Linked DNA regions of Elephas maximus indicus. The protein of the gene in region 2 purifies or fractionates together with the protein of the main gene of each other region. This does not show direct contact. Links are inferred from orthologs where the notes say so. Each region holds a gene or a part of one and is shown on either strand. Other genes may lie near its edges. The genes, in order: SIKE1, STK26 and CTTNBP2NL.

Evidence for each region.
Region 1: the proteins of STK26 (region 2) and SIKE1 purify together in Homo sapiens (affinity purification with mass spectrometry; 4 studies listed by BioGRID and IntAct, with this or other methods). This does not show direct contact. The link is inferred for Elephas maximus indicus from reciprocal best matches to the Homo sapiens genes STK26 and SIKE1.
Region 3: the proteins of STK26 (region 2) and CTTNBP2NL purify together in Homo sapiens (affinity purification with mass spectrometry; 4 studies listed by BioGRID and IntAct, with this or other methods). This does not show direct contact. The link is inferred for Elephas maximus indicus from reciprocal best matches to the Homo sapiens genes STK26 and CTTNBP2NL.

The regions. Positions count from the first base shown.
Region 1 is NC_064821.1:165,760,119-165,763,869, forward strand, and holds the start of SIKE1 (suppressor of IKBKE 1), read left to right. Parts: upstream 1-1,317; 5' UTR 1,318-1,399; coding exon 1,400-1,558; intron 1,559-1,785; coding exon 1,786-1,891; intron 1,892-2,808; coding exon 2,809-2,951; intron 2,952-3,751.
Region 2 is NC_064846.1:24,087,669-24,091,419, forward strand, and holds the start of STK26 (serine/threonine-protein kinase 26), read right to left. Parts: upstream 2,211-3,751; coding exon 2,193-2,210; intron 1-2,192. UniProt on the Homo sapiens protein: Serine/threonine-protein kinase that acts as a mediator of cell growth. Modulates apoptosis. In association with STK24 negatively regulates Golgi reorientation in polarized cell migration upon RHO activation.
Region 3 is NC_064821.1:168,370,655-168,374,405, reverse strand, and holds the start of CTTNBP2NL (CTTNBP2 N-terminal-like protein), read left to right. Parts: upstream 1-1,418; 5' UTR 1,419-1,485; intron 1,486-3,751. UniProt on the Homo sapiens protein: Regulates lamellipodial actin dynamics in a CTTN-dependent manner. Associates with core striatin-interacting phosphatase and kinase (STRIPAK) complex to form CTTNBP2NL-STRIPAK complexes.

The DNA.
Region 1 (3,751 bases), on a different chromosome or scaffold from region 2:
AATTGATTAAATGTGAGACATAAGTAAATGGGAAGACTAAACAATGACTTTCAGGATTCTGTTTTATGAAAATGGGTGTATGAACATGCTCTTTAGGGAGACAGAAGAAACAGGTTTAGAGGCAAAGCTAATAATGAGGTCAGTTTTAGACCATGTTGAATTTGTGGTGCCTGTAGGTTGTCACTGTGGAAACACTCTGTACGCAACTAGATATAAATATCCTAGGTTAATGAAAGAGATTTCAACTACAGAGATGGATTTGAGAACCAATGGGCCTGGGTGGAAGTCAAAACCAAAGGAAATAGATCACTCAGGCAGGGTGTTTTTCTTTTGTTTTGAATGAAATCTCTTTACCTCTGTCGCTATGCATTAAAGTTTTTCCCGTTGGTCTGTGGCCCTGATTTGTTATTTTTCTTGAGCTTGTTCCCCATCTACCCCCTTAACAATTACTGAGTGTCTCCATTGTGCCAGCTGTTGGGAACAGAACAGCCCAAATTCCCCTTCCCTCCGCGTTTCTCTGACCTCTCACTAAGGCTCTGGCACTCTCACCCCTTCACCAGGCTCCTAATTCTCTCACTGCCTTAAATTATTCATTGGAGTATAAATTCTTTCTCCCATTAGAACATAAGCTCCCTAATGGGAGAAAGGGAGCCTGAGTGGCACAAGAAGTTTGCCATTGGCTGCTAACCTATAGGTTAGTGGTTCAAATCCACCCAGCAGCTCCATGGGAGAAAGGCTTGATGAACTGGTGATCTGCTTCCATAAAGATTACAGCCAAGAAAACCCTATGAACAGCTCTATTCTGTGACACATGTGGTCGCGGGGTTTTTCTTTGAGAGACCTTGTGTCTTATTCTCTGCTGTGTTCCCAGAGACTAAACAGTGCCTGGAATAAAGAAGACGCTCCAAAAATATTTATTAAATTAATGAATGAAAAAGAGCAAAGTTTGACGTACAAACATGACAAGCAAAACTCTTATAAACTGATATAACAAATGACAAAAAAGTTGTTTTTCTGACTAATTTTATTTTCAATGTATTAATTGAATTAAAACCAAAAAAGTACGCAATTAGAGTAAAACGATGACTGAGTAAAAAACCCACATTAACCAAAAGCCAGTAGAAAAAAGAGAAACCCATCAAGCTTAGGAACAGGAAAACAAGAACCCGGCCAGTGCAAGCCGTCAGCTCTGCGGTGGGCGGGGCTGAAGCGAAGGCGCAGGTTAAAGCGGGTCAACCTGAGGACGTATCTGTCATTGCGCAGGCGCATAGATCGCGGCGGCTGAGGCGCCTGGCCAACTTTCCCGGAAGTGACGTATGTTACGCTGAGAAGGGTTCAAGGAAGATCTGGGCGCTTTGCTTAGGTGAGCGGTGCGGACAGGTGGGGTCGTGCATCCGCTATGACCTGCACCATCGAAAAGATCCTGACAGACGCCAAGACTCTGCTGGAGAGGCTGCGGGAGCACGATGCGGCCGCTGAGTCGCTGGTGGATCAGTCGGCGGCACTGCACCGGCGGGTGGCAGCTATGCGGGAGGCTGGGGCAGCGCTTCCGGACCAGGTCAGGCAGAGATGGGGGATCCGTGCCCTCGGGTTCTGGGCGCTTGAGGTGTGGACTGCGAGGTAAACTGAGAACTCGGCCTGGAATTTGTTCCCGGTCTTAGAGGGCGGCGGTGAGGCGTCTGCCGAGTTGGGGCTGAGAATACTGCCTGGAGCTCTGGCTCCTACCTTTTCAGTTGTATCTGCCCCTGTTTTCGGCGCGCTTAGTCTGTCTTTCTGTTTGTCCAGTATCAAGAGGATGCATCCGATGTGAAGGACGTGTCTAAATACAAGCCTCACATTTTGCTGTCCCAAGAGAACACGCAGATTAGAGACTTGCAGCAGGAAAACAGAGGTTAGTCAGGCTTTTTGTGTAGTTACGATTTTTTTTTTCCAGTAGCAGTTCAGAAATTCTTGCAGAACTGCCTTAACTGTTCACAAACGTGGACATCCTATACGTATTCCCAGGTAAATACTTTTAAAAGGAGTGTCACTTGCTAGACCAATAATGGTGTGGTGTAATTGCTAAATATCTTTTTCAAGGTCATCTGACTGATTTAGCATTTATAGACGGCTCATCAAAGTGGTGCTTAATAGAATTGAATTATTGCGTGGTGTGTTTAAATATCCCCGGATAGAGGCTTGCGTAACAAAGGAGTTCATATTCTCAAAGGGCTTAGAATTTAATGTTTAAATAGTAATCGAAATAAACATTAAAGTTAAATTTTTTTTTTTACTCTTATCGCATAAGGTGCAGGAACAGTTCTATCCTCAGGATATATATTCTTAAACATGTTAACTACGTTATTAATGATGGTAGTGTTAATTAAAAAAAATTTTTTTAATAGTCACTTACATATCAGTTTACAGAAGGTTTTCACATATTACTTCACATTGTATTCTTGTATCTTCATTTTGGTATAGGCAAGCCTGGTATTTATTATTACAGTATTGCAGCTGAGAAATAGACCCAGAGAGGTTAAATGATTTGCTCAGGAGTACTTTTATTAAGCTAGTAAGTCACAGAACTGTACTCAAACCTGTGTCTTCTGATTTCATACCCTACGGTGTTTCTACTAGACTATGGTGTCTCTGCCTAGGAAGTTATTTTTAACATAAACCTTAGCTCTTTAGTTTTGTGGATTTAAACATTGATTTACAACTTTGGACTCACAGTATCTTATGGAGTGTCGTAAAATTCCAACTGTTAAGAGTTTGGTTTTGGGAGTGGTTTCTCAGACATTGCTGCCAAGTTATTTTATTTTTTGATAGAACTATGGGTTTCCTTGGAGGAACACCAGGATGCCTTAGAACTCATCATGAGCAAGTACCGGAAACAGATGTTACAGTTGATGGTCGCTAAAAAAGCAGTGGATGCTGAACCAGTCCTGAAAGCTCACCAGTCTCATTCTGCAGTAAGAAGCTCTGATAAGTAAATTCTAAATTAACTGAATTGAAATCTGGAAATTATTTTAGATTTTGTGTTTGATTTCCAAGAAAAATAACCTTGTGTTTCCTTTCATGTTTATCACAATTGCTGTTTATTTTGCTTTAGCTTTGTAAAGATAATCAGAAGGGGATGAGGAGCTACTCAGTGCCTTTTATTTGAGTGGCCCACGGTTCCCTCCTCTCCCTGTACCGCATCAAGATCTTTTTTCAGAACGCTAAGGAATGCTAAGCACTTGCACCAAACATAATGCCAGTTAGTGTTGAAAGTGTCAAACTGAACTGCATAGCATCATGCTCTATTGTTAGGAGAGAATAGTGGTGTTTAAAAAGTATGTGTAGCGTAGTTTCTACACTTAGGCTGCTTATGATTTAATTTGGGAGACCCAATAATTGTACTTATATTTATAAGATGCTTCACAGTTGTCATGGTACATTCACAGGTACCATATCACTTAATTCTGGGTTAATAGATTGAACCTCGCTGTTTGCTACGGTGGAATTTAGTGAGAGATCAATTTCATCTTAGATTCTGTTGACTTTATTGACTTAACAAAAGTCTTAAGGAATAGGGATAGCTACATTTAAGCTTTCATCTAGAGGAGGAAAATGAATTTTACCAATTTACTGAACCTTGAAGGAAACGATTTATATGATATAGGAGAACTTTCTAAGATGTCCAAAGATGGAAAAAGGCACCCTGGAATGTGATAAGCTTCCTCCCAATGAAAGCGGGAGAACTTAAGTTAAACAGCCACTTAGAGATATT
Region 2 (3,751 bases):
GAATCATTCACACTAACTGGGATTAGCTGATCTTCCTACCACAAACAATCCCATACAGCAAATGTTGTCTGAGCTCCCTGCCAAAGGATCAAGCACTTCTTAGAATCAGCAGCTGGTCATATTCAGTTTACACTTTAATAGAAGGGTAGCAATGGTGAGAGAGAGAACAGCTAAATTAAGTGTAGTGGGTTGAATAGTGGCCCCCCAAAAGATATGCCCAAATCCTAACCCCCCCAAAGTTCTGAATGTGACCTTATTTGGGAAAAGGGCCTTTGCAGAGGTAATTAAGTTAGGATCTCGAGATGAGATCATCCTAGATTTTCTGGGGGGGGCCCTAAATCCAATGATCCAAACCCAAACCCACTGCCGCTGAGTCGATTCTAATGTACAGCAACCATGTAGGACAAAGTAGAACTGCCTCCTAGGGTTTCCGAGGCTGTAATCTTTACGAAAGCAGACTGCCACATTTTTCTCCCACAGACAGGCTGGTGGGTTCGAACCGCCTACTGTTCAGTTAGTGACTGAGCACTTAAGTACTGTGCCAAAGTCCAATGGTAGGTGTTCATATAAGAGAAAGGCAGAGAGAGATTTGAGGTAGAGACGCATATAGGGGAGAAGTCAGAGGCAGAGGCTGGAGTGATGCACCTACAAGCCAAGGAATACCAAGGATTGCCAGCAACCATCGCCTGAAGCTAGGAGACAGGTATGGAATGGACTCTGAGAGCCTCCGAGGGAACCAACCGTGCTGACACCTTGATTTCAGACTTCTGGCCTCCATAACTGTGAGAGAATAAATATCTGTTTTAAAGCCACCTAGTTTGTGGTAATTTATTCCCCAACTCACACATCTCAATCATTCCCCGTATACTTCCAAACCACCATCCAAACGACACAGAACACAATAGATTCAAGAATTTAAACTTAAGGAAAAAAAAAAAAAAAACAGAAACAAAAACTCAGGATCCTATCGGCACGTACTGGTCTAGTCCAAGGCTGAAATAAGACGCTATTATTCCTTTGTCACAATTCCTTTCACAACTCATCTCACAGTGAGAATACAGAAGTCGACACTTTGCTGCGATAAAACCTGAACTCAAGCATAGGTTTCTAGGTTAACAAATGTACAGGCATGACTTAGATTTATACATTTGATATTCTTTTCTGATTCAGAAACTATATCCTTTATGTTGTAATATACAATTTTGAATTAAAATTTCACTTGGATGAAACAATCTTTATATCTTTACGTTAACTCATATTGAAGATACACTACTGACCAAGTAGAAACTCAGGATTGAGTCTCCCTCCCCCACCGAAAAGACAGTTTAATAAATTATACTTAAGTGCTTTATTAGTTTATATCTAAAATTTTACTTTGAGTACCTTCAAAATATAGGAGGATTCTATCTAGCTCTGGTGAGCTGTCTATATTTAATTTGCCAGTCAGGCCTAGAATATCTGTTCATTTACCACCATTTTACTTAGCCATCAGTTTCAAGAGATAATTATAGAGTTAGCACATTCCTAATATCTTCCTTGGACCCTGGTGGTGTAGTGGTTAAGAGCTCAGCCACTAACCAAATGGTCGGCAGTTCGAATCCACCAGCAGCTCCTTGGAAACCCTGTGGGGCAGTTCTACTCTGCCCTATAGGGTCGCTATGAGTTGGAACTGACTTGACGGCACCTAACAACAACAAAGGTATCTTCCTTTACTAGACAAATAGGCCATTAAAATTTATTATTTGTCTCTGATCAAGTTCTTGGTGCCATGATTACCAAATAGATCCACTGCTACTCCAGTGAGCTGCCTCCTTTTGAGGTAACTTGAAGACTTATGACTGCTTTTAAAGAATTTCACCAATTTTTCTTTTTTCAGCCTGCTTAAAGTACAGTTTGCACACGACCTGCTTACGTTATAAGCTTCCCCATTCTCCTTGATTGGATTTTGTTCTTTTCTGAAAGATGCCCTTTCCACGTAGCAGTCTCTGATGTTGCAAGCTACTTGTGTATTCCTACCCACCTCTAGTCCCACACGGAGTAAATATATCTTGAGTTTCCCATATATCCATTTAAAACTAGTTTAGACTTCCAGTAGGTTGCAAATGCCTCTTTAACGCTCATATTTTGTTATAATACATTCTCAAAAACTTGAGTACCATCATTATTAATTTCCTTGGCATTCTCTCTCTTACCATGACATTGTACTTCATGCTGATTACTATTACACAGTGGTTAACTCACAGTTACCTCTTTCTACTTCTGGTGATGGTTGTTGCCTTTCTAGTACCTTGTGGCAAAAATACCCATCAAATATCTTAGTGATGGGTTTGCCTCCCTATAACTTCCTAAATTCAGTGGGCTTTGAAAAATAAAAAGAAATAATCTTTCAGTTGTCCTGATGCAGCTGCAAAGCTAGTCTAAAATTTGGAAATAAGTCGCTGGTTAAAAATATATATGTACTTTCTAAAACAGAAATGGATAACACATTCTGGATTGAGAAGTATATTCATTAACTTATAACAAGAATTGTCAGTTGGATTTTCACCTAAAGCACAATAAAAAAATTAAAAGAAAAAAAAATCATCTGTTGTAAAAAACAAAGATTAAATCCCAATCTTCCTAATTAGTGTTTTAAAAGGCTATGACTAAAACAATCAGCTCCAGGGGGGATAAAGCTGTTCCTTGCTTTCTGTACTAAATGAGTTCCTGAAAGTGTGTAGATCAAAGACTTAAAAACCAAGTCACATTTTGCGTTTTAAAGAAGCTCTGAAGTGAATCCCAACTCATCAATATAGTTAAAGATTTTCAATCAAGGAATACCAAGTTGGAGACAGAAACGTTTGCACTTCCCACTCCTCATCTCCCTGAGGGATACAGGTCCCTGTCCTATTTATCAATTCCTAACTCTCTGGGAAGTTCTAGTCTGTCCCATAGGGTCGCTATGCATCAGAATTGACTCAACAGCAATGGGTTTTGTTTTGTTTTATATCCCTGATTTAAAAAACAAAACAGTTGCCATTTAGTCGATTCTGACTCATAGTAACTCCATGTGTCTCAGCGTAGAACGGTGCTCCATAGTTTTCAATGGCTGATTTTTCTGAAGTAGATTGCCAGGCCTTTCTTCAAGGCATCTACAAATGGATTTGAACCTTCACCCTTCCTGTTAGGAGCTGAGCATGTTAACCATTTGTACCACCCAGAGACTCCAAATCTTTCACAGATAATCCCAAAGATCTAATTTCCTGTTCACCATCTCACTGGCTTATTAAATCAAGGTATCCTAAGTAGTTATTAAGACAGATTTCCTTTCTTTTTTTTAGGGAAAGGGCAAAATTCAAGTAAATAACTTGTAAAAATCCCAAAGAATGCAATTAAAAGACCATCTGTATAAAGAAACTGGTTTGCTCAATCATTCACACTACTCTTCAGAGCCTGGAAGAAAATCAAGACAGCTCTCGAAGAAAATCAAGTCAGCTCTCTACATACCTAAATCAAATATTCTTTTACGAATATTAAAATTTCTAAACCTTTTTATGCATAATTAACGGTTACTGTTGCATCTGTGTTTGCATTGCCTTCTGGAAGCAGTAGCCCAGAAAGGAGCTTTAAATTCTGTAGCAAATAGTAGGAACCACTAAATTAACCTCATATTAATTTACAACAAATGGTGTATGATTTGTATATGCCCTGCAAAAATGGATTTATGAAAATGAAAGCCTCTGAGATCCACCTTAGGGCATTCACATTATTC
Region 3 (3,751 bases), on a different chromosome or scaffold from region 2:
CTCAGGTGGATCAAATCCCTCCACCAGACTGTAAACTACATGAGGACATGGCTGCATCTGCCTTGAGAACTGTGTCTGCTTAGGTGAGGACTAGGCCCTAATATTGTCTTGTTTAATGACAACTACTAATTGTATTGTTATATGAAAAATAATGCGATGGTTATTATTTTAACCAGCTAAATCAATCTATGAGCTGGAGTGCAGTCTATGGAAAAGTGTTCTAGAAACTTTGACCTCCAGGAAGGATACAGCTAGGTCTACCATCATTCTCTCCCCTCTCTGGGCTATCTGGTCCTACCTAGGGCTTGCTGCTGAAGTCCTGGGTGGTGCAATTAATACTCGGTTGCTAACCAAGGTTGGAGGTTCACATCCACCCAGAGGCATCTCAGAAGAAAGGCCTGGTAATCTACCTCCAAAAAATCAGCCACTGAAAACCCTATGGGGCACAGTTCTACAAGAGGTCACCATGAGTAAGAGTCGTCTCAAGGGCACCTGGGTTTTTTAAGGCTTGCTATCATCAGCAAGATGTGTTCCTCTTGTTTCCACATGGAGGGCCAGACATGTATACTCTAGGCTGTCCATTGTTCCAACTTCACTGCAAACACCGTCATCCCATAGTATAATGGGGCGACCAACATGAAATTGTCTTCTCATCTGGCAAGCGTGGTGTGGAAACCTTGACACACAAATTTGCAATTATTAGACTTCTGCCTTGAAGGCAGCCTCCCCCATTCCTTCCCCTTTCGCCCTTGCCCCCAACCTGGTGGATAGTATACAGAGACAAGGCCTGGAAGGCAGGCAGGTCGGCTGGGTTTATGGCCCCTCTGGTACAATCCTATGACCCACTGCAGAATTTCCATAGCTAGCATCCTCTTCTACATATAATGTGAAGAGAGAAGGATGGTCTCCTGATATTTCATCTTTGTACCCTTGCTTCCAGCACACCTTCAGGCGCGTCCAAGGAAAAAAGCGGGAGCAGGGAAGCCACGTTACTGAGTTTTCAATAACCATTTCTAAAGCAGATACCAAAGCTTACTTTTCTAAACAATGTGGATGAAATCACACTCCGGACACCAGAAGCCCGCCATTCCTCAGCTTCCCCTACCACTAGGGCGAAGCATGAAGCCCTTGTCAGGGGCCTGTCCAGCAACGGTAAAGAAGCTGGAAAGCGGCAGGACCCAGACCCACCTTCGTGCGGGCCGGAGGAGGGTGCTTCCTACCGGAACTGACGTGAGCTCAATCCCAGCCCGGTTCTCCCCAAACAAAAGGGATCTTGGGGCTCCAGGAGGAGCCTAAATGACATTGGAGAAGCTCCTCCTCCAGCCAGTGTGGATTGGTGGCGGCGCTGAAGAGGCGAGGTGGTGATTGGCCAGAATGCATGCCAATGTCCCTTCCTGGCGGTTGAGGGGGTGGGGCCTCGGGGGCTGTGGATAGGGAGCGGGTGGCGGAGGCGGCCGGGAGCGGAGCCCGGAGCGCCGGGAAAAGGTAGGATCCCCTAATGCTGGGACTTGGTGACTGCTGGGAAACCGGGTTTCCGAGAGAAAAGCAAGGGTGGGACCCCGGTATCCTCCCGCACTGTCCCACTGCCTCTCGTGTACATCCCGGAGGGGGCGGGGCCGTCTCCTCCACCTCCCGGTATTCCCTGAGGAGGTGGCTGCTCATCCTTCGAGGGTCCTCACGGTTCCTTATTGTCCCCCGTCAGTTCCTCCCTCCTCAGAAAGGGCTTCCCTCCTGCTACCTCTCATTTAAAAGCCCTTCTCGCTCAGCGCTTCAACCTTGGAGGAGGGCTCGCCGGTTCCCATTCCCTACGCTGCCGCCCCCACTCCCATTTTGTACCCCGGGCAGCCAGACATCCCTCCCTACACCTGTCCCTGCTCGCTAGGGTGGGACCAGAGCTAGTATCGTTTGTAAGATAAAGTCAGTACATTTTAGAAAAGAGGGATGGGGCAAAGCAAAAATCAAAGACCCGACCTGGACAGCCAGCACCACGTACGAAGCGGCCCTCCCCCCCCTTCAGCTCTTCCCATCCTCCATTCTCGGATCCCCAGCCTTCTTCCAGCTGCCCGTCGGATTTGCTGTTCTGTGGCGAGTGGAGAGCTCCCCTGCTTCGGGAGTCAAGATGGACTTTTTTTAAGCTCTGGAGGAAGGAGAAATTACAACCCCCTCCCCCCATCTCAGTCTTTGTACCTTCTCTCTATTTTCTATTCCCAGCTTCAAAAGGTTTTCTAGCGTTGAGTTGTTCACTTTTGCCTTCCACCCTATTTCTTCCCTGAGAACTTGATGAAAAACCATCCTCTTGTATTTCACAGTGAGGTGGGTGTGTTGGCTATCTGCAGAATTGCCTTTGTGTGGGTAGGAATGCAGTGTGTATTGTTTGGCAACCAGTGAATAGCACAAGATTTAAGATGAAGCAGTATAGATAAGCAAATGAAAATATTTGGTCATAGGCATGAGTATCTCCTAGTCTATGGTGGGCTGGTTGTTGCTCAGGGAGACTGCACTTCACCTGGAAGGTATGGTTCTGTTGAAACAAAAGGCAGGAAGTGTTTGAAGAAAATTCAGGTTCAGACATTTAGGTTTATAAGTAATCTGGTCAGGTGGCCTTTGGTTACTCTCAACTACTCCATCTTTTATAGTGGGTTCCCCCCCTCCCCCAGGGAAAATGATACATATATGACATTGTTGACTGGTTTTACATGACCCATAGCATCTAACAAAAATATTAAAAAATATATATATATATAAAAAAAAATTTATAGGGGACAAAAAATAAGAGCAATTTTTAAGTCGCAGAGATGAGGGTAAATAAAGGCGAGGTAAGCTCCAGTTATTCACATGCCTCTGTAGTATGTTCATAAAGACTTTGTTAAGCTGTTCTTCATTTCAGCAGGGGCTAAGTATTGATGGCTTTTGGTCCAGTGTTAATGCCCCTGAATCCCCAGTAATCACCTATGGGTGCCTGTTACCAATTGCCGTCAAATGGACTCCAACTGACAGCAACCTTGTAGGACAGAGGAGAACTGCCCCGTACGGTTTCCTAGGCAGAAATCTCTACGGGAGCAGACTGCCACATCTTTCTCCCCTTGAACAGCTGGTGGGTTTAGACCTCTGACCTTTCTGTTAGCAGCTGAGCATTTAACCACTGTGCCACCGGGGCTCCTTACCGATGGATAGTGCTTTCATATATTAAAATTAACCATATATTAAGCAGTTTTCTTTTTTGCTTTCAATCAGAAGTCCCTCTCACTACTGTTACCTGTAAAAACCAAACCCATTGCCATCGAGTTGATTCCAATTCATAGCGACCCCACAGGACAGAGTAGAACTGCCCCACAGGGTTTCCAAGGAGCAGGAGCAACTGGTAGATTCCAAATGCTGACCTTTTGATTCGCAGCCAAACAGCCAAGCTCTTAACCACTGCACCACCAGGCCTCCTCTGTTATCTAGAGCCAAAGCTAATCTCAATAACATGCAAAGAGTTGAAATCATAGAGGGTGATTGTAGTGGCTGTTGTCTTTTACCTTCCTGATTAGACTTCCTGAAGGTAATTATTTTTAATAGTTAAGTTTCGAAGTTTTCAGAGCCACACTTGGTGCTCACAGATCTGTGTAGTGATTATTCCCAGATCTACAATAAGAAAGCATAAAAGAGAAGCTATGTGTGGGGTCTCCCCAGCTAACACAGCAATAGCAGTAGAAAAAACTAAAGCAGAACAGGAAACTCTAGAAAGATATATCTTGTTACATGAGCA